Linked DNA regions of Arabidopsis thaliana. The protein of the gene in region 1 interacts with the protein of each later gene in a pairwise test. Each region holds a gene or a part of one and is shown in the gene's direction. Other genes may lie near its edges.

Region 1 (12,289 bases):
TACACAAATCATATTCTGATTTAACCGTGTAAAGACCATGATTGGTACCAAACCAGCAGAAAGAATCCTGTCTAGAAGCCATAGGTCTTTGTTGACAAATTATCTGTATCTCTTTCCAAGGAAATAAGTCTCTAAGCATATTCAAATTCCAATTCCTAGAAAAAGGATCAATAAGTTGACTCACTTTCAATTGAATATCAACCATAATCTGCAGACTTTCTGGTCTTCTAGGTTTATCATCGAAAATCCAGTTATCCATCCAGACATAAGTGTTTTCTCCATTTCCAATAATCTTTTTCAGGCCTGAAACTAGTAACTCCCTGCCATATAATATACTTTGCCAGGCATAAGAGGGTCTAGTACCTTTTGTAGCCGAGAGAAAATCTGAATTCATATAGTATCTGCTTTTGAGAATCTGAGATAATAGACTATCTGAATCTGTGTGAAGTCTCGAGGCTTGTTTAGCTAGCAGGGCTTGGTTAAAACACTGTAGATCTTTGAATCCAAATCCTCCAAGGAATTTAGGTAGCATTAATTTTTGAGCTCCAATCCAATGTATTTTCTTCTTATCTTGAACAGAATTCCACCAGAAATCCATCATAACACTAGTTAGCTTTGTGCATAGAGTCTTTGATAACCTGAAACAGGTCATTGCATACACAGGAAATGCCATAGCTATGGATTTTAACAGAATATCTTTCCCTCCTTGAGATAAGGTTTTCGCATACCAACCCGAAAGTCTAGATTGGAGTTTCTCCTTGATGAATCCAAAAAGAACTTGTTTAGAGCCTTGAAAACATTCTGGGAGTCCCAAGTATTTCCCAGTTCCTCCTTCTGTTTGGATGCCTGATCTATTCATGATCCATTGTTTTGTTTCCTCATTCACCTTAGCCCCAAAAGTGATAGCTGATTTCTCCGAATTGATCATCTGCCCTGAAATATGTCCATATTGTGACAGACAATGCATGATCTCTGCACATTCTAACTGAGAAGCCTTGCAAATTAATAGTGTATCATCAGCAAACAGTAAATGATTGACAGATGGTCCGGTTCCATTAAACTGAATTCCAGAAATTTTCCCAATTTTTTCTGCCTGATTTAGGATGTGAATCAAAGCCTCTGTGCATAACACAAACAGAAATGGTGATAACGGGTCACCTTGTCGTAAACCTCTATGAGGAGTAATATGACCAAATGGCTGACCATTAATCAGAACTGAATAAGACACTGAAGATACACAAGCCATCATCCAATTTATCCAAGTACTGTTAAACCCCAAAGCCAAAAGGATTCCTTTAAGAAATGGCCATTCTACTCTGTCATAAGCTTTTGACATGTCCGTTTTAAAGACCATGAAATCCTTTGAGATCTTCTCATTAGTTCTGAGGTTATGAACAATTTCATGTGCAAGAATGATATTATCAGAAACTAACCTCTCTGCCACAAAAGCCGATTGAGTTGGTGAGACTATGACTGGAAGATATTTCTTGAGTCTAGCAGATAAAATTTTTGAGATAATCTTATACATGACTGAGCATAGGCTGATTGGACGAATATCCGCCATTCTAGCTGGTTTTGTTATCTTTGGAATCAGACATAAGTGTGTATGGTTCCAGTCTTCAGGGAGAATACCTGTCTGAAAGAAAAGCTCTATATCTGAAATAATCTGATTCTTGACCAAAGGCCATTGCCTTTGGAAAAAAAGAGCAGTGAAGCCATCAGGACCTGGTGCACTCTCAGCATTGATAGAAAAGACAGCTTTGTAAATTTCTTGTTCATTGACTTTTTTTGTGAGGTCTTGATTCATATCTTCTGTAACTCTTTTGTTAAAACCTTCTAACACTGAATCCATTGAAGAAGGGTAAGATGAAGAAAATAAATCTTCAAAGAAAGTCACTGCAATTTTTCCTTTCTCCCTATTGACTGTTTGTTCATTGCCATTCTCATCTACCAAGAATCTCAGAGAATTTGATACTCTATTGGCTTTTACTGTTGCCTGAAAAAACTTAGAATTCTTGTCTCCACCAACCATCCATTTATCCCTGCTTTTTAATCTCCAAAAATCTTCTTCCTCTCTATAAGCATCACCAAGGACATCTTGAAGAAGAGAAATCTGCGTCCATGATGGGAAGGTAGCACTTTTCTCTTTATCTAACTCCCTTCGTAATTTTGTAATCCGACTTTTGGCATTAAAATCATTCTCTCTTTTCCACTGGCTAATGGCTTTCCTACATTCCACTAGACGAAGCATAACTGAAGAAGATTGATTATCCAGAAAACCATTCCAAGAAACGAGAATAGCTGCAGCACAATTAGGATCCTCAATAAACCGTTTGTCAAATCTGAATTGACCCCTGAAGACTTCCTGATCATTCACAAATTTAACCAGAACTGGTCGATGATCAGAACCTAGTCTTTCAAGAAACCATTGGTGAGAGTTTGGAAACAAAGCAAACCATTATGAGTTCCCAAAACATCGAACTAATTTACATTGGATCCATTCATTATTCCTAGTTCCACCCCAGGAATAACTATTCCCTGTACTCCCCATCACATGTAGATCACAAGCAAAAATCATATCCTGAAAATCCTGAAAGGAAGATTCTAATCTCTTAGGACCACCTATTTTTTCTTTGTTAGATAGAATATCATTAAAATCTCCGATCATACACCAAGCTGATTTTCTTGTCAAACCTATCTCCTTTAATCTGTCCAAAAGGGTATATCTAAGATGCTGTTTGGGATTTCCATAAACACAAGAAACAAACCAGCTTTTACTATCCTGAGAAACCTTCATATCCAGTAAATTCTTATCTTCAAACAAAAACTCTATCTCCAAGTGTTGTTTCCAAAAGATTGCCAAACCACCACTCTTTCCAATCGGTTCAATAGAGTGAAAATAATCATAGCCTAACCATCTGAATATTTTCATAATGAACTGATCAGAATTCATGGTCTCCATGAGGAATAACATGTCTGGGAAATGATCTTTCTTCATTTCCTTTAGATACCGAATTGTCCAAGGATTCCTCAAGCCTTGGCAATTCCAGCTAAGGATGCCTTACTGATACTGCGGTGGTTCATCATGAACCACCGTTTCCTTAACATCCTTGCTACATTCAGATTTAACAGAAGCAACCAAATCCTTTTTCCTTTTGAAAACATTAGGAAATTCAAAGATTTTACTAACCTCTGTATCAATAGCTTTCTCACTAGGCTCCAGAGAGTCCAATTTCTTACGGATCACAACTGCTTTTCTTTTCCTTGGATTTTTCTGTCTAGAACTTAAACCTGATGAGCACGCTTCATTTAAGGCAGAGTTGAATCCCTGATCCAAATCCAGATCCAAATCCAGAATAATTCCTTTAGAACAGTCTTCTTGATAAGCCTTCTCGTGTTCCTGACTCTCTTTAGCTTCTTTTCGAATCTTTTCCACTAAACCAGTAGACTGTACCTCTGAAGGTGTAGACGACATGATTCTTGAATTCAGAAGGTTTGTCTTTGTTGACAAAGCACTGTTTCCTTCTATCCTATCTAAATCTGAACTAGGAAGGGGATGATTTGATTGTGGAAACCTAAGATCAGACTTTTCTTTATCCTCTTTTTTCTCAAAAAAAGACCTTTGAAACCCATCCATGACTGACGATTTTCCTGGCCGACCAGAATCACAATCACCTTTCTCATGAGTTAGTCGTTGGCATAGGAAGCATCTCTTCCTAATTCGTTCATAATCAAAAGTCACAGAAACTATTTCACCCGTTGGAAGCTGAATCTCTTTAAAGTTCCTTAAAGGGTTCCTAACATCGATGATAACCTGAACTCTGATATAGTCTTGTGCTTGAGACTTCTCTAAGTCAAGTTCCACCTTTAAAACTTTCCCCACACAAGATGCTATCTTTTTTATTGTGTCCTGTGTGTAGTAGTTAACTGGAATATTTCTCAGCCTCATCCACACCGGAAGAAACATCAGATACTCTTCCGTCGACTTCTCAATCCAACGTTCCATCACTACACACCATTCATCCTGAGTCCACACTCCTGTTTTCAAAATTTCCAATAGATCATCCTCTGATTTAAAGAAAAATTGAAACCTTTCTTGAGATAAAGCAACACCACGAACCCTGGAATACAATCTCCAAATTCTAGGCATGTCTAAAATCCAATTAGACATCCTTTGATTAGAAGGGTTCAGAAATCTTCCTAAGATACTGCAAGTATTCCTTTCAATCGAACAAAACTGAGCTTGGTTTGACAAAACAAGTGGTTCCTCATCTTTGATTGACATCTCTTGAATCGCTTGATCCAAATCCATACTCATCCCAATAGAATAGAAGAGAGAAAGATTTTCAAGGCAACAGCTGAACTCAAAACTGACAAAAGGTAATCGAAGATTCTTCTGATCCTGGCTCCGCTCTATTAGAATCGATGATTTGAGGGAGAAGTTCTTAAGCCCAATTTGACGGGACGGCGTTAATTACGGCGAGCAAAGTATTATCCAAAAACGACCTCCTAAAAAAGAGAACAGAGAGTTTTTTTTGAGGATTGAGGTATGAGGTATCTAATTGAAAGACGCAAAAGTAATACTATAAGGAAAAAAAAAAAAGAGCATGTTTATGGACCTAATAATATTCGTCTGGGTCGGATCATTTGATTTGGTTGCCTACTAATTATCCGAATGAGACGAAAATGAAATTTGAATGAATGGGCCCTATCCGAGCATAAAATCCGAGTAATTCGGGTCGGGTTTGGGTATTCCATAAAAAGCAACTCTCACACCAATCCGTTGCTCAATCCTCTCTCTCTCTCTCTCAGCTGCCTTCGCGCCGGCGAAGTTTGTCTCTGTGAAAACAGAGAGTGGTAGTGAGAGCGTGAGAAATGTCGAACTTGCTAAGGGATTTCGAGGTGGAGGCTAAGAATCCGTCGCTGGAAGCGCGTCAAAGATGGAGGTCGTCCGTGTCTATCGTGAAGAACCGTACTCGTCGTTTCCGTAACATTCGGGATCTCGATAAGCTCGCTGACTACGAGAACAAGAAGCACCAGATCCAGGTTCCTATTTCTTTGGTTTCTCTATCTCTATTATTCAGTTTTTTTTTTTGCTGTGAGTATGATTTTGATTTTCTTGGTTAAAAGGTTTTATAGAAAATTATTCATTGTGATACTTAAAAGTTAAAACCTTTTGAAGAAGGAATTGATAATGGTTGACCCTGTTAAGCTTTTTTTTCTGCCATTGATGATCCGTACAAAAGGACTTTATCAGAAAGGCGTTACTTGTTTTTTTTCATAGTCTAATCCACACTTTTGCATACGAAACTTTTTTTTTAATTCATGAACTTAAAACTCTTTTTTTCTCGATGCTATGTGTAATCAAAGATTCAAAATACACATTAAAATTTTGCAATTTGCTAATACAAACTCTAGAGAAATATGAATCAAAGGATGATATGGTAAAATATCTAAAGGATGAAATTATTATTCTTTTGGAGCGTTATCTTTTTTGTTCAATTGCGGAAACCGAAGAAAAAAATAATTCAAGTGGCACCACACATGATGCTGACATCAAGTTGTATCTTTGCTTGAGTGTGTGTCCTCTACTGTGTTTACAAATTGGATAATTTCTTGTCGCTACTAGGAAGATGAGCCAATCTTGAGAGGCCAGCAAAAGTCTGACCCTTTTTTTTTTTTTTTGAGTTTTTTTCTCTTCTTAGCGACTGAATCCAAACACCAAAGGACGAAATTTCAGTTTCAAGACTTCTTAGCTTTTTGATACCAGTTTTTCTTTAACTTAAATTCAAATTTGACTTATGGTACGAGGACTTCTTGTGTGCAATAAATTATTAGCTTAAGGACGTTACACACGGAAACTTGGCCAGGTGTATTTTCATAAGGTTCTTTCCACTTGCACAAACCAAATAAAGAAGCATTTTTATGGGATTCTTGTGGATATGATGAGCTCATTGTCTTTTCTTCTTTTTCCTTTTTGGTCTCTACTTATTCGCATTGAAATCGAATCACTTTTCAGTCTTTTTATAAATAAAGCAAATTGTTTTATAACCTAACTGTTGAGTCAAAGAAATTGCAGCTTTAACTTAAAATGTTCTTCACTGTGGCCGGGGGGAATGATTAGCACATAGATGTTATGTTAACCTTTGTTACCAAAGATATTTCAGCTACATTAGCTTTATTTCTCTTTTGTAAGATCAGTGATATAATTGACGTTCCAATGGTGTTTCAGAACCATTCTGTCTTTAAAAAGCAAAATGAAAATTTAAGCAAGCAATGGGTGATGGATCTTTTTACTAATTTGTCCGGCTTATGATGATTGCACCACAGAAACCGTTTGTTCTTTCTTCAGTTTCATGTATGACCAAATATTCCTATGTTGTGCTGTTTTATCTATTAGCTCACTGTCTGTACTCATTATCAGGAAAAGATCCGAGTTGCTTTCTTTGTTCAAAAGGCAGCTCTTCATTTCATTGATGGTAAGATATGCAGCTGCATTTTTTGAGAGATGTATGAAGGCGACTTGGTTTCTACTTTCTATGGTTATGTAAACTTTTCTTTTCTTATTTGTATTTTTCTCTAGCTGCTGCTAGGCCGGAATACAAGCTCACTGATGAGGTTAAGAAAGCCGGATTTTCTATTGAAGCAGATGAACTTGCATCTATGGTTCGCAAAAATGACACTAAGAGCCTGGCACAGAAAGGTGGAGTTGAAGAACTTGCTAAAAAAGTATCTGTATCTCTCTCTGAAGGCATTCGTTCGAGTGAAGTGCCCATTAGGGAAAAGATATTTGGAGAAAATCGTTATACTGAGAAACCAGCCAGATCATTCTTAATGTTTGTGTGGGAAGCGCTCCACGACATAACCCTTATCATTCTTATGGTCTGCGCTGTAGTATCAATAGGTGTGGGTGTTGCTACAGAAGGATTTCCAAGGGGAATGTATGATGGGACAGGGATCTTGCTAAGTATACTCTTGGTGGTCATGGTTACTGCGATCAGTGATTACAAGCAATCTTTGCAGTTCAGAGACTTGGATCGAGAGAAGAAGAAGATTATTGTCCAGGTCACCAGAGATGGGAGCAGACAAGAAATCTCCATTCATGACTTGGTCGTTGGAGATGTAGTTCATCTATCTATTGGGGATCAAGTTCCAGCTGATGGGATTTTTATATCTGGATACAACTTGGAGATAGACGAGTCAAGCTTATCGGGTGAGAGTGAACCGTCACATGTGAATAAAGAGAAGCCTTTTCTGCTTTCAGGAACCAAAGTACAAAACGGTTCTGCAAAAATGCTGGTGACAACAGTTGGTATGAGGACTGAGTGGGGAAAGTTGATGGAAACGCTGGTTGATGGTGGAGAAGATGAGACGCCTCTGCAGGTGAAGCTAAATGGGGTTGCAACAATCATTGGTAAGATTGGTTTAAGCTTTGCTGTGCTTACATTTGTGGTATTGTGCATAAGGTTTGTCTTGGACAAAGCAACGTCTGGTAGCTTCACCAACTGGTCATCTGAAGATGCATTGACGCTACTTGACTACTTTGCAATTTCTGTAACTATCATTGTCGTTGCCGTGCCCGAAGGTTTGCCACTGGCAGTGACCTTAAGTTTGGCATTTGCTATGAAGAAGCTGATGAGTGACAGGGCACTTGTGAGGCATCTTGCTGCATGTGAGACTATGGGTTCTTCTACTTGCATCTGCACTGATAAGACAGGGACCTTAACTACTAATCACATGGTGGTCAACAAAGTATGGATCTGTGATAAGGTTCAAGAGAGGCAAGAGGGAAGTAAAGAAAGCTTTGAGTTGGAACTATCGGAAGAAGTTCAGAGCACTCTTTTGCAGGGTATATTTCAGAACACTGGTTCGGAAGTTGTTAAGGATAAAGATGGAAACACTCAGATCCTAGGATCCCCGACAGAAAGAGCAATACTCGAATTCGGTTTACTTTTAGGTGGTGATTTTAACACGCAGCGTAAAGAGCATAAGATACTCAAGATTGAGCCGTTCAATTCAGACAAGAAGAAAATGTCTGTTCTTATAGCTCTTCCTGGAGGTGGTGCACGGGCTTTCTGCAAAGGGGCATCTGAAATAGTGTTGAAAATGTGTGAGAATGTTGTGGATTCAAACGGAGAATCGGTTCCGCTAACTGAAGAACGGATTACGAGTATCTCTGATATCATAGAGGGTTTTGCCTCAGAGGCTCTGAGGACTCTCTGCTTGGTTTACAAAGATCTAGATGAAGCTCCCAGTGGAGAGCTCCCTGATGGAGGCTATACAATGGTAGCAGTTGTTGGAATCAAGGATCCAGTACGTCCGGGTGTTAGGGAAGCCGTTCAGACTTGTCAAGCTGCCGGAATCACCGTCCGTATGGTCACTGGAGATAACATAAGCACAGCCAAAGCAATTGCTAAGGAATGTGGCATATATACCGAAGGAGGCTTAGCTATAGAAGGTTCAGAATTCCGGGACTTGTCTCCTCACGAAATGAGGGCCATTATCCCCAAAATTCAGGTCCTTTGATATATGATAGATAGAATGAATTGTTATTGTTTATCTGTCTATTGAAAATGTTTAAGTATCTCTAAAATTCCTTGTTTCTGCCTTTAGGTAATGGCTCGGTCTCTGCCATTGGACAAACATACTTTAGTCAGCAACTTGAGGAAAATTGGAGAGGTAGTTGCAGTGACAGGGGATGGGACAAACGATGCCCCTGCGTTGCATGAGGCAGACATTGGACTAGCAATGGGAATAGCTGGAACAGAGGTAAGCTATAGTTATTCTCTGTTATTGGTTTGGTTAATAAAAAAATCTCGAGATTAACATTTTCGTTTGGTGCTAATTCCCGATATGCAGGTTGCGAAAGAGAATGCTGATGTGATCATAATGGACGATAACTTCAAAACAATAGTAAATGTGGCTAGATGGGGACGTGCTGTATATATAAACATTCAGAAGTTTGTTCAGTTCCAGCTAACTGTTAATGTGGTTGCTCTGATCATCAACTTTGTCTCTGCTTGCATCACAGGTACGACAGAAAAACCAATCAAACACCATCTTTCTTCTAGCGTTTGGTCAAATATAGTAACCATTTCTTTTGGTTTCTTTTCCAGGATCTGCTCCACTCACTGCTGTGCAACTGCTTTGGGTCAACATGATCATGGACACACTTGGTGCATTGGCTCTAGCAACAGAACCTCCCAATGAAGGTTTAATGAAACGTGCACCAATAGCTAGAACCGCCAGCTTTATCACCAAAACCATGTGGAGAAACATCGCTGGTCAAAGCGTTTACCAGTTGATTGTCTTAGGAATTCTCAATTTCGCAGGCAAATCACTTCTCAAACTAGATGGCCCTGACTCCACAGCCGTTCTTAACACAGTCATCTTCAACTCCTTCGTCTTTTGCCAGGTACCATTCGCAAACAAAAACCAACCCAACTCTTATATAAAAGATAAGTAACAAGAGAATCAAACGGTGTACAAACAGGTGTTCAATGAGATCAATAGCCGGGAAATAGAGAAGATAAATGTGTTCAAAGGAATGTTCAATAGCTGGGTGTTCACTTGGGTAATGACTGTGACGGTAGTGTTTCAAGTGATCATAGTGGAGTTTCTTGGAGCATTTGCTAGCACCGTTCCTCTGAGCTGGCAACATTGGTTACTATCAATCTTGATAGGATCATTGAACATGATTGTAGCCGTTATCCTCAAATGCGTACCTGTCGAGTCTCGTCACCATCACGATGGCTACGACCTGCTTCCTTCTGGTCCTTCTTCTTCCAACTCTGCCTGATACCGTTTCTATGTTCACTTTTTTTTTGTTTTCCGGGTAGGAGTACACAAATATGTAAGTTTTCTATTTTTGCTACTTCAAATTCTTTTTTTTTATACCACGAATGGAATTTTGTTTTCGACTTACTCCAATACTCTAATACGATTTTGCAATAAATTTTGCATTTTAATTGAATGTTATCTATCAAGAGCTGTGCTAAGTATTAGAAAATCTAGAGAGATGCTTTGATTAGTAGATTCTCAAGAATTTATGATCAGAACATCTACCTTTTTTCGTATAAATATAAATCTATATTGTTTTTGATAAAAGTTATAGTAGCATCTAATTAGATTTGTGACATGTATAATGCCAGTATTTATCCTTGTCGTAGGTGAGTCTATAATGTTGAATCAGAACGCTTACGTAAAGTATAAACATAATAAAACGCAATTGTGAAAATAGAATGACATATTATTCTCTGGATGACATGTTAAATCAAATCATATAGCATAATAAAATAGAAGAATTTTCCTCTATCTCACATCAATGTACATGAAGCTTTCGTTTCTGTATATACACGTAAATAAAACATCGGAAAAAGATGGAAAGAACACCAACTTTGCTTCTCCAATACATGAAACTTTAACAAAAACAAAAAAGAACACCAACTTTCCTTAAAATGCTTTTATAAAAGTAAAATATTCATGCATAATTTACTTGAAACTTTTCGACACTTTCATTTATTTATTGAAGTTAAAGAAGTTGGTCACGCGTATGAAATCTTTGGAAAAGCAATAACTGTACGGACGTCACTCTCAGATGTTAAGTTCAATAAGCAAAAGAATAGCGGGACCCTTCGGTTTTCCACTTTATTACGATTGTGCCATCTGACTCGTCATTTACTCCTAGCCGTCCGATGAAAAAGGCAGAATCTGGAGAGTGTACAGTAACTCGAAAACACAGGAACATATATTCGCATTTATACAGTACGAGTCAAATAAAAGTCAATGAATCTGACGGTTGAGATTTTCAGTTGGACGAAGAGTGGTCCCCATGAGTTAATAAAACGGCTTAGTTTGGTATCCACGCGCCTCCGTTGGTTTATCCATTTGTAGCAAACCCGTTCACCGTTTGAACCGACCTCTTTCTCTCTCTCTACACTCTACTCTAAATACTGCAGAGTGTTTTGTTCGTCGCTTTCACTGCCAGCCTTTTTTTTTCTCTCTCTCACTAAATTCTCTCGCCGACCTTCTTCAAACCCTAGAAAAACGCTTAATTTCTGGAAGATCCATCGACGAAGCTCACAACGGTATGGTTAGAACTTTGGGTGTTCTTGTGATTGTGCTTCTTAGTGAGAATTGCTTTGGAGATTTTGGAAATGTGGGTGAAAAGGCTGATTTTTTTTTACAGAATGAATTTTGAGGCTTATCGTAGTGAGTGACCACCATGGATGATGATGATGATCTCTGGGGTCCGCCACGAGGTAAATCTGGTTGGATCAATTATGGTATCTACTGTTTTTTTTTTTTTTGGTCTTGATGATGCAAAGTTTGTGTTCTTTTAGTTTTTGTAGTTGTGCAAGACGATACCTTTCGTAAACAGACCGTACGTCGTTGTGAATTTTGGTTCGATTTCAGAACAGGTATACACTGGATTTTGGTTTAATTGTTGTTATGATTCTCTTTTGAGAACAATCGTTTGTTGCTTTTTTTAGATGTGCTCGAAGAAAATTTCCAGAACGAAAAGTATTGTGAGCTAGTTTGGAGGATATTGACAGAGAAGAAGAGGCAAGTTACTGAAATTGCTGAGCTTGAGAGGGTTTCAGTTTCAGTATCGGCTCAAAATGATACGGCTTCCTCTGGGAGTGGTGGTGACTTGCATGAGATAGACTCTTCTGATTCTGTAAGAGACTTTAAGAAATATTTGATTTTGATTTTGTATTCACTACAGATTTTGACTAGGAGTAACTTGTTATGTCTTCTACAGGATAAGACTCTCAGTACTACTCTTCCAGATTCTGATACTAGTTCTGCTAAACTGGCTCTTGATGACGACGAAAACACTTCTAGTATCAGCGATGCTCAGACTGCTCAAACTGTTCAGATCAGAGATTCTAGTAACGACGACACTGAAGATATAGAGCCTGAAACAAGATTGATGCCTCATGAGACAGCAGCTAATGATCCACTAACAGTTGAGGTCTGTCGAGTTTTCTTAATCCTTTGTCATGCATCCATGGGAATCTTGTATCATGGAACTTTGTGTTTTTTTTATGATAGGTTGCAGAAGATGCAGATACCTCTTCTAGCCCTGTGTTGGAAAGCAAGATTGACGAAGCTGAAGAACATTCTTGTTCATCCTTGGTTACTGACCAAGTCTTTGATCCTATAAAGCAAGCCCTCGAGAACAAATCTTCATCTGCTATAAGCCGTGAGAGTATTGGAGGTTCCACACTGAGACCATTGCATTTAGAGACCCGGGAGAAGGCAAATACTACAGACGAAGATGGAG
Region 2 (8,370 bases), on another chromosome or scaffold:
CAAAACCCCATTTGGTAAAGCCATCTCATCGTAAATCTAGTAGAGAGAAACAAAAGTGTTCATATGGAACATAGTTCTGGATTCAAGGGATGCTTAAGTCAGTGACTTTACCATTAAAATGTGGCGCAATGGTACTCGATAGTGTGAAGCTAGAGATCCAACCTTTAAAACGACAACAGAACAGTTTCAGGTATGATGATTATTTGATCACGCAGCTGATCTTTGCAAAGTTATGAACAGAAAATACAAACCGATTCGCCGCTGAAGTTCATATAAGTCTGAGGTTTAGCCAACAAGATAGGTACATCTTCAATAGCACCTGTACTGATTCATACATAGAACCAAAAAGTCATCAGTTTTATTATTCTTCAAACCAAAGAACCAAAGCAAGAGAAGTAGAACCTATTCCGATTAGAGCTTTGGACTGTATAGTGTTCATCAACACCCCTTCTTTTCTAGCCAACACATCGATCATCTCGAAACCAACCTGAAAACAACACAAAGTTGTAGCATTGCCAAGATCAAATCCAGCAATTAAGTAAAAGAAAAAGATTGTGTATCATTACATTGTGTCTTGTTCCATGATACTTGTTTCCTGGATTGCCCAACCCAACGATAAGCCAAGGAGTGTACTCTACTTTGAATCTATCATCCTCACCACCAGAAGTAGATGAACAAACCCGAAACCTCTGTTTCCGGAAAACTGGCTTTTGCGTTTGAAAATGGTAAACACTTGGTGTATACGTTGGGCACAACATGGAACTGTTGTTGATTCAAAGACCTATTGAAATTGAAATGACTAGAAACTTTGAGATTCAATACTTGGAATATACATAAAGATAAAAGCTTTTCAGGATATAATGAAATTCGAAATCATATAACAACTGAGAATCAAAACTTAATGAAACCCATTAACAGAGATACAGCGCAGATAAAAAATAATTGAAGTGTAATCGAACAGAGGACTCAGCAAAATTTCTGGAGAATCAGAGATTAGCAATGAGCTACAAGGATTACACAAAAATGTATTTGTGGTTTATATTATGTTATAAATTTTCAGTAGAAGAAGGATAAGTGAGAAGGAAAATAGCTTACCTCTTCTTCTTCAGGATTTTTCGAAACAATTTCGGAATTTTCTTTTGCGAAGACGTTGGAACGAGATAGAAGTAGAACGATGAAATACTGAGACGAAGATGTTAGAAATTGGTCCCGTTTTGTATTAATGGGCTTACTAATATTAGCCCACAAAAATGATGGGTTAAATAATAGTGGCCCAAGTTACTATGATTTTTATACGTCACCGTTACTATGCTCAATGGCGGCACGTGAGTACTATTGAATAACACGTGCGGCTATATACGTCATCCAAAATCTAATCCAGAAAATCCAACGTTGCCAAATCGCCAATCCTGCGGCTCTTACGTAACTCTTTTACTTCTTTTTTTCTTACCCTTTTATCGACTAATTTATGTCGAATAATAATTGTAAATAATTTTCTCAATTTATAAACTCAAAAAAATTTCCTAATTAGTCCCGCCACTTAGTTCGATTTAGTTGATACTGGTTGATTTATTCAAATTTCCTAGCAAATATTACAAAATTACCAATCCAAAATTGAAAGTTGCATCACATGCATTAAATTTCATGATTTCTTTAAAATAAGAAATGAAAATACTCTATTTTCCGTATGGTTTTGGATAAATATGAATTATTACACAAAAATCCAAAACTAATAAGGAAACAAAATTGCATTATTTATTTTTTGGTGCGTTTTAATTTTTTTTTTTAAACGACAATAAGCTCCACAGTGAGTTCTTCTCAGCAATCACAATCTATCTGGTTTAAGCCCTCACTATCCTCTCTCTCAAATCGCGGAGTCTCCGAAGTTTCTCTGGTAATTTTCAAATCTGAAGTTTTGCTTTGGATATCACGATTTTTGTTAATCAGCCGCGATCGAGAAGAGCGTTTTTACTCTCTCGTTCGCATCAATGCAACATATTTCCCAATTTCGTGATGTTGCGTCTTCATCGTTCCTTACTTCTCTCTTTTTGAGTTCTGTTTGGTATAAATGCGATCCTTTTTTTTCCTTCCTTGCCTAATATTTCTCGTTTCCTTGCAATTACGGTTATAAAAAGTCAGACAAAATGCAGTCGTCAACGTATGCGGTTAAAGGAAACGCTGCGTTTGCGTTTCAGAGACGGACCTTCTCTTCTGACAGATCGACGACTTCTACCGGAATTCGCTTCGCTGGTTATAAGAGCTTAGCCACCACCGGGCCACTCTACTGTTCTGGTTCTGAAGCCATGGGAGCGACGCTTGCTCGTGCTGATAACGGGATCCAGAGCGTTATGAGTTTCTCTTCTGTCAAAGCTCGATCGGTCAGAGCTCAAGCCTCATCTGGTTCGTCTCTTCTAATGCTCTTCTATCTTTGTCTATCATTAGATTCTGTGATTGCTTACAAGTTCTTAAATACAATTTGAAGAATCTAATGTATAGTTTGGGATTTGGACTAATCATCTGATGGTTTGAGGAATGAAATGTAGATGGAGATGAAGAAGAAGCTATACCTCTGAGATCTGAAGGGAAAAGCTCTGGAACAGTTTTGCCTTTTGTTGGTGTTGCTTGTCTTGGTGCTATACTCTTTGGTTATCATCTCGGGTATGACTAAATACTACACTGTTTTTATCTTGGTGTGATCATGGATGATGATGTTCTATTGGACTGAATCAGGGTGGTTAATGGTGCTCTTGAATATCTTGCTAAGGATCTTGGGATCGCCGAAAATACTGTTTTGCAAGGCAAGTATATGATGATCCACTTCTTTACTCCTCCTGTCAACGGTAAAATGATTCGTGTTTTGATTAGTAGCCAAACTCATAATTGGTATTCTCTATGATTGGTGTTGAGCAGGATGGATTGTTAGTTCTCTGCTTGCTGGTGCTACGGTAGGTTCATTCACTGGAGGTGCATTAGCTGACAAATTTGGACGAACAAGAACTTTTCAATTGGATGCTATCCCGCTTGCCATTGGAGCTTTCTTATGGTAAATTTTCAAGCACTAAGCCATACCTATTGGTGAGACGTTAATTGATTTCTTAACGCATTGGTTCTTTTTTTATTGATTAGTGCAACAGCTCAGAGTGTGCAGACTATGATTGTGGGACGTCTGCTCGCTGGAATTGGAATTGGAATCTCATCAGCGATTGTACCACTTTACATATCTGAGGTTGTTTAAATACTGATTTTCATTATTTTTGCACTTTTAGCATAAGATGTTAGATTTGTTTATATGTTATGTCTCTGAAGCGTTTGATGATGGTTGTCAGATATCACCAACTGAAATCCGTGGAGCACTCGGATCTGTGAACCAGTTGTTCATCTGTATAGGAATACTTGCAGCCTTGATAGCTGGATTACCCCTTGCAGCAAACCCTCTATGGTATGTAACATCCCTTTTTTATTCATCATCTTTTATTTTGGGTTGCATACTGTGATAAGTTTTGATATCGTGGTCTTCTAGGTGGAGGACGATGTTTGGTGTTGCAGTTATCCCTTCCGTTCTATTGGCCATAGGAATGGCTTTTTCTCCAGAAAGCCCAAGGTGGCTCGTTCAGGTACTCTCAAGGAACAGATCTCAACACTTAAAATGAGATCAATTTTTGACAAGTCAAGGAAATCAATTTTGCAGCAAGGAAAAGTCTCTGAAGCTGAAAAGGCGATCAAAACTTTGTATGGTAAAGAAAGAGTGGTTGAACTAGTTCGCGACTTATCAGCCTCTGGCCAAGGTTCTTCTGAGCCGGAGGCAGGATGGTTTGATCTATTCAGCAGCCGCTACTGGAAAGGTATAGCAAGACTTGGTGGAGATACATTGTTTAGTTTGTAATAAAAGCTGACGGATTCCTTTCAAAGGTCATATCGGATTGATCAATTTACATAGTTTCTTGTCTGTTCTTGTTGTAGTTGTAAGCGTAGGTGCGGCTCTCTTCTTGTTTCAACAGTTAGCCGGGATAAACGCAGTTGTGTATTACTCCACATCGGTATTCCGTAGTGCGGGAATCCAATCAGATGTTGCAGCCAGTGCTCTCGTTGGAGCATCAAATGTCTTTGGTTCGTTTCCCCGTTATGTTCTCATTAAATTCCAAAAATAACCAAAAAAATAACACGATAAAAATCTGGTCGCAGGCACTGCTGTTGCTTCATCGTTGATGGATAAAATGGGAAGGAAAAGTCTTTTACTGACAAGCTTTGGTGGAATGGTACATGTTTTTATTAAAATTCTTAGCCATATTCGAAAATCTCAACCCTCATTAGTATTACCACAACAGGACTAACTTGGATTTTATGGTTTTGTATTGAAAAGGCTTTGTCAATGCTGTTACTCTCCTTGTCCTTCACATGGAAGGCTCTTGCTGCCTATTCTGGAACCCTTGCCGTTGTTGGAACTGTTCTGTAAGTCAATCTCCTCTTAACACTTCCTTATAGTCTCTCTGTATAGGACTTGACTGACTCTTATGCTCGGTTGTTTAAATCAGATATGTCCTGTCATTCTCACTTGGTGCTGGCCCGGTACCGGCTCTTCTTCTTCCAGAGATATTTGCATCCCGAATCAGAGCAAAAGCCGTCGCTCTTTCTCTCGGCATGCACTGGGTATATACATATATCTATAGGTTTTATGGGTTCAGAACAGAGTTTCTTCTCTCTGTTTCTAATGTTTTGTTTCTCTTTTGCCCTAACAGATATCAAACTTTGTGATCGGACTATACTTCTTAAGCGTTGTGACTAAATTCGGAATCAGCAGTGTCTACTTGGGTTTTGCTGGAGTCTGCGTCCTTGCGGTCCTCTACATTGCAGGAAACGTCGTCGAGACTAAAGGTCGATCACTGGAGGAAATAGAGCTTGCTCTTACATCTGGAGCTTGAAATTAAACAAAAGAAATCAGCAGAACAAAAACCAGTTTGTTTCATCATTTAGTTTGTGAGTCTTTCTCTAATCTGCTACTCTTAAATTGTACAATGGACGACGTTATCAATAACGAGAAATCTTTTCATGACCACTACATGTTGGCTTTCCTTTCCCACCTCTCCCTGGTATCTAGCCTGTTTCAAAACAAAAAAAGCATGGCATTAGCACGGTTTTCTCAATATGAAAAAGAATTCTAAAATTAGCGAAATAAGCTCACCCCCAAAACAGTTTTTGTGGCTTCTTCGGTACTGTGACTACTGTCTTGTTATGATTCTGTTCTTCTAAGGTAGAAGAAGAAGAAGAAGTTGGTTCTTTCAACTTTTTAGAGCTTTCGCCATCTTCGATCGCTTTACTCTGAGAATTCTTGCTCGCTGCATTTCAGTGTAGAGCTTTTAGTCTAGTGAATATGAACTGAGAATTCTCAAAAAAAGAGAGCTAAATATATATATACCTTTAGGTTTCTTCTTATGAATCTTTGCATTAGCTTTTATTTGCATACGTCTCTTGTGTAGCTCCTGTAATCTCAACACAACCAAAATGGCTTCAAATTCAAATTGCTATGTACATAGTAATTCGGTTGAAAGAAAAAAAAAAAAAACTGGATTGAACAGTTGATAGAAATTCGAATCAAGATGATTATACGAAGTCGTGCTTACAATCTCATTGGGATATCTGAAGATCAGAAACATTAAAAGTCGAGGCAAAGAATCTGACCTGTAATTTGGAAATTTGTTTCTGGGTGAGGTTGGATCGATTAAAATTGGGTTGAAGAGATAGTGTTGAAGCTAATAGAGCTTCTTTTCGATTCTCCTCTGCTTCTCTGTCAATTTCCTCGTTTGTCCTCGTCGTCGCCATGGCTTCTCCGTCGGCAACTTTGAGAATGTTAAGAAACCGACGTCGGAAACTTTCCTTTCCTTTTTGTTGGGGGATTAAATACCGAAATTACCCTAAAATATTATGCTAGTTTAACTAACTACCCGAATGTTTTGAACTAATACATAATTGACCTAACACTTTCTCTAATTATCAATTACACCCAATTGTTTTGGAATTTTTGGCGTTAGTGAGTTACTATATTAATGAGAAATCTTAATTAATGTATCATAGATCGTGCCGAAAATAAATGGTCTATGTCTAACAGCTTTGAGTACAAGTAAAACTCTCAAGCTTGGTCTTTAATTACTTTTGTGCCTTGACTAAGCAATGTAATTAGACCTTACGACCTTTAAAAATCCACTAATCTAGCATGCCGATCACGACCGCAACGCTTACTCTCTGTATTAATGATTTTTGTAATCAAAACTTCATATTTGACTATTTAGCAACAAAAAGAAGGTTCTGGCAATGTGTCGTCAAGTGCACCTAAAGTTAGGCATGAAATATTGTTCCTTCCATGGTTTGTGGGTCAGCACCGAACATTTCGCACTCTCTTCCATCTCAGTACTGCAACATTTTGAATAATTAACTCGTCCAGGTTATTTATGAAGAATTCCTTAACTTTGGAGTAATCAGGTTAGTTTTTTTATTTGATATTATTTTGGTTTGAGTTATTTAATTTGCTATTGTATTGGTTCGGTTTAAGTTAGACTTTCAAAAAGAAAAATTAGACAAAATTGAACCCACGCACACAGATAAACAATTCAATAGATCATTCAAGTATAGGTTTGAAATACAGAACTGCTCGGTTATATCCACCTCTCACCAAGGTGTTCAATGTGATTCGGTTAAATTAAGATTAGATTCAAATATTCATATTTTCAACAGCAACAGAAAAAAAAACATATTTTGACAACATGCCACCCTTAGCTTATTTTGACAACATATCATCACCCTTACTTGAAATTGCAATCTCTTACTACACTCCGTCCTATGGGCAAGATAAAATTTCGTCAAATCGTGTAAATGTTAAGATCTAAAACCTAAGTTTTGTATCTAACACATGATCGTTATATACATATATTGACCTGAGAACAACTAAAAGTCAACAGGTCACGTCTTCGTTCCAAAGTCTACTCTTTTAATATACATTTATATAACTTGCAAGAGAGCTCCTTTTGACGTTGTCCAATACACTCCAAAAACCTTGTTTTTTCTTATACAACTTGTAATAACACATTTATAACAACTGGTTGCAAAATCCTTAACGATCACAACAACCTCTCTCTCTCTTTTTCTCTCTCTCCCTCTCCCTCTCTATCTCTACAATGAGCATTAGTGATCATAAGAGCAAGAAAGAAGAAGAACAGTACCCAATGATCACAAAGCCCTTGAGATTGATTCTCTTACAAAAGGGAAGTTATGTCTTAAGCTCACTCTTTTTTGTATTCGGTTTCTCGGTTGGTCTCTTCCTTTGTCTGCAACTAAAAGCCGTACACATGTCTACGACGACGACACAACGACAACCCTTATGGTCTACCTTATTATTCAACCACACGGTCCACACCACAGAGATGGATATCAAACAAGAGTTGCAACTACAAGTACTTCAACACAACATGAGTGATCAAGAACTCTTCACCAAGGCCTCGTCATTATCATCACCAACATCATCCTTATCGTCATCATCATGGTTAGGGAGGAGACATAATAATGATGGGAAGATGGCTGTGAAGGTGGCTTTCATGTTCATGACAGGTGGAAGACTCCCATTGGCTGGCTTGTGGGAAAAGTTCTTTGAAGGACATGAAGGGTTTTATTCCATATATGTTCATACTAATCCATCTTTTCAAGATTCTTTCCCCGAAACTTCCGTCTTCTATTCAAGAAGAATCCCAAGTCAGGTGATAATAACAGCTTTAGTTTGTTAATTATATCTTTCTCTTTTCTTAAATAAACCTATTTAGGTACCCCTATATATGATCAGTATACTACTAATCAGAAATTATATCACTAGTTTTCCAAAAACACATCACTATACTTTTCCAAACATATCTCTTCGATTTGACAGGTTGGTTTTTTCACATGGCACGTGCATTGATCTTGATTCGACAATTGCATAATGGTCCATTAAGGCATGAACCCATTTGATATTATTCTACCATAAATACATTTCTTTAATCATGTTAATAATATTCAAAGATAGACTATTCTCAACTTTTGTAAGAACAAATGAACAATACATAGAACAGTTTCAAAATGCATCTCAATATAAAATTTCTAGATGTTATATAAACTGAAAAAGGGCGTAGGAATGCTTTTTATGTTTATTAAGTTTCTAGATATTCTAACTAATTTTCAAGTTAAAAGCGACAACAAATCTAAATTCAATAAATCTAACAAATTTAAAAGGCTTAAATTTGTATAAACAATTTTTTAAAGATTATTTTAACAATAATATTGATGTTGATTTGTGAAACTTTTTGTCAATCAGCCGGTGTATTGGGGAACATCATCAATGGTAGACGCAGA

Evidence for each region.
Region 2: the proteins of ACA4 (region 1) and PGLCT interact in a protein complementation assay, tested with the Arabidopsis thaliana proteins (one large-scale study listed by BioGRID).

What each region holds. Positions count from the first base shown.
Region 1 is NC_003071.7:17,329,766-17,342,054, reverse strand, and holds ACA4 (autoinhibited Ca(2+)-ATPase), read left to right. Parts: upstream 1-4,562; 5' UTR 4,563-4,875; coding exon 4,876-5,046; exon of another isoform or gene 5,047-6,424; coding exon 6,425-6,479; intron 6,480-6,583; coding exon 6,584-8,517; intron 8,518-8,613; coding exon 8,614-8,769; intron 8,770-8,859; coding exon 8,860-9,031; intron 9,032-9,116; coding exon 9,117-9,415; intron 9,416-9,493; coding exon 9,494-9,799; 3' UTR 9,800-10,005; downstream 10,006-12,289. Other genes in the region: AT2G41550 (Rho termination factor), read left to right, coding at 11,225-11,261, 11,343-11,420, 11,493-11,680, 11,765-11,977, 12,058-12,289. UniProt on the Arabidopsis thaliana protein: This magnesium-dependent enzyme catalyzes the hydrolysis of ATP coupled with the translocation of calcium from the cytosol into small vacuoles.
Region 2 is NC_003076.8:5,270,760-5,279,129, forward strand, and holds PGLCT (plastidic GLC translocator), read left to right. Parts: upstream 1-1,716; 5' UTR 1,717-1,894; exon of another isoform or gene 1,895-2,135; 5' UTR 2,136-2,144; coding exon 2,145-2,400; intron 2,401-2,543; coding exon 2,544-2,658; intron 2,659-2,730; coding exon 2,731-2,798; intron 2,799-2,910; coding exon 2,911-3,043; intron 3,044-3,126; coding exon 3,127-3,226; intron 3,227-3,326; coding exon 3,327-3,439; intron 3,440-3,520; coding exon 3,521-3,614; intron 3,615-3,688; coding exon 3,689-3,842; intron 3,843-3,960; coding exon 3,961-4,107; intron 4,108-4,182; coding exon 4,183-4,256; intron 4,257-4,360; coding exon 4,361-4,449; intron 4,450-4,532; coding exon 4,533-4,647; intron 4,648-4,736; coding exon 4,737-4,919; 3' UTR 4,920-5,053; downstream 5,054-8,370. Other genes in the region: AT5G16140 (Peptidyl-tRNA hydrolase family protein), read right to left, coding at 1-36, 112-162, 252-319, 403-487, 567-758; AT5G16160 (uncharacterized protein), read right to left, coding at 5,054-5,096, 5,180-5,333, 5,414-5,477, 5,677-5,817; AT5G16170 (Core-2/I-branching beta-1,6-N-acetylglucosaminyltransferase family protein), read left to right, coding at 7,167-7,742, 8,333-8,370. UniProt on the Arabidopsis thaliana protein: May be involved in the efflux of glucose towards the cytosol.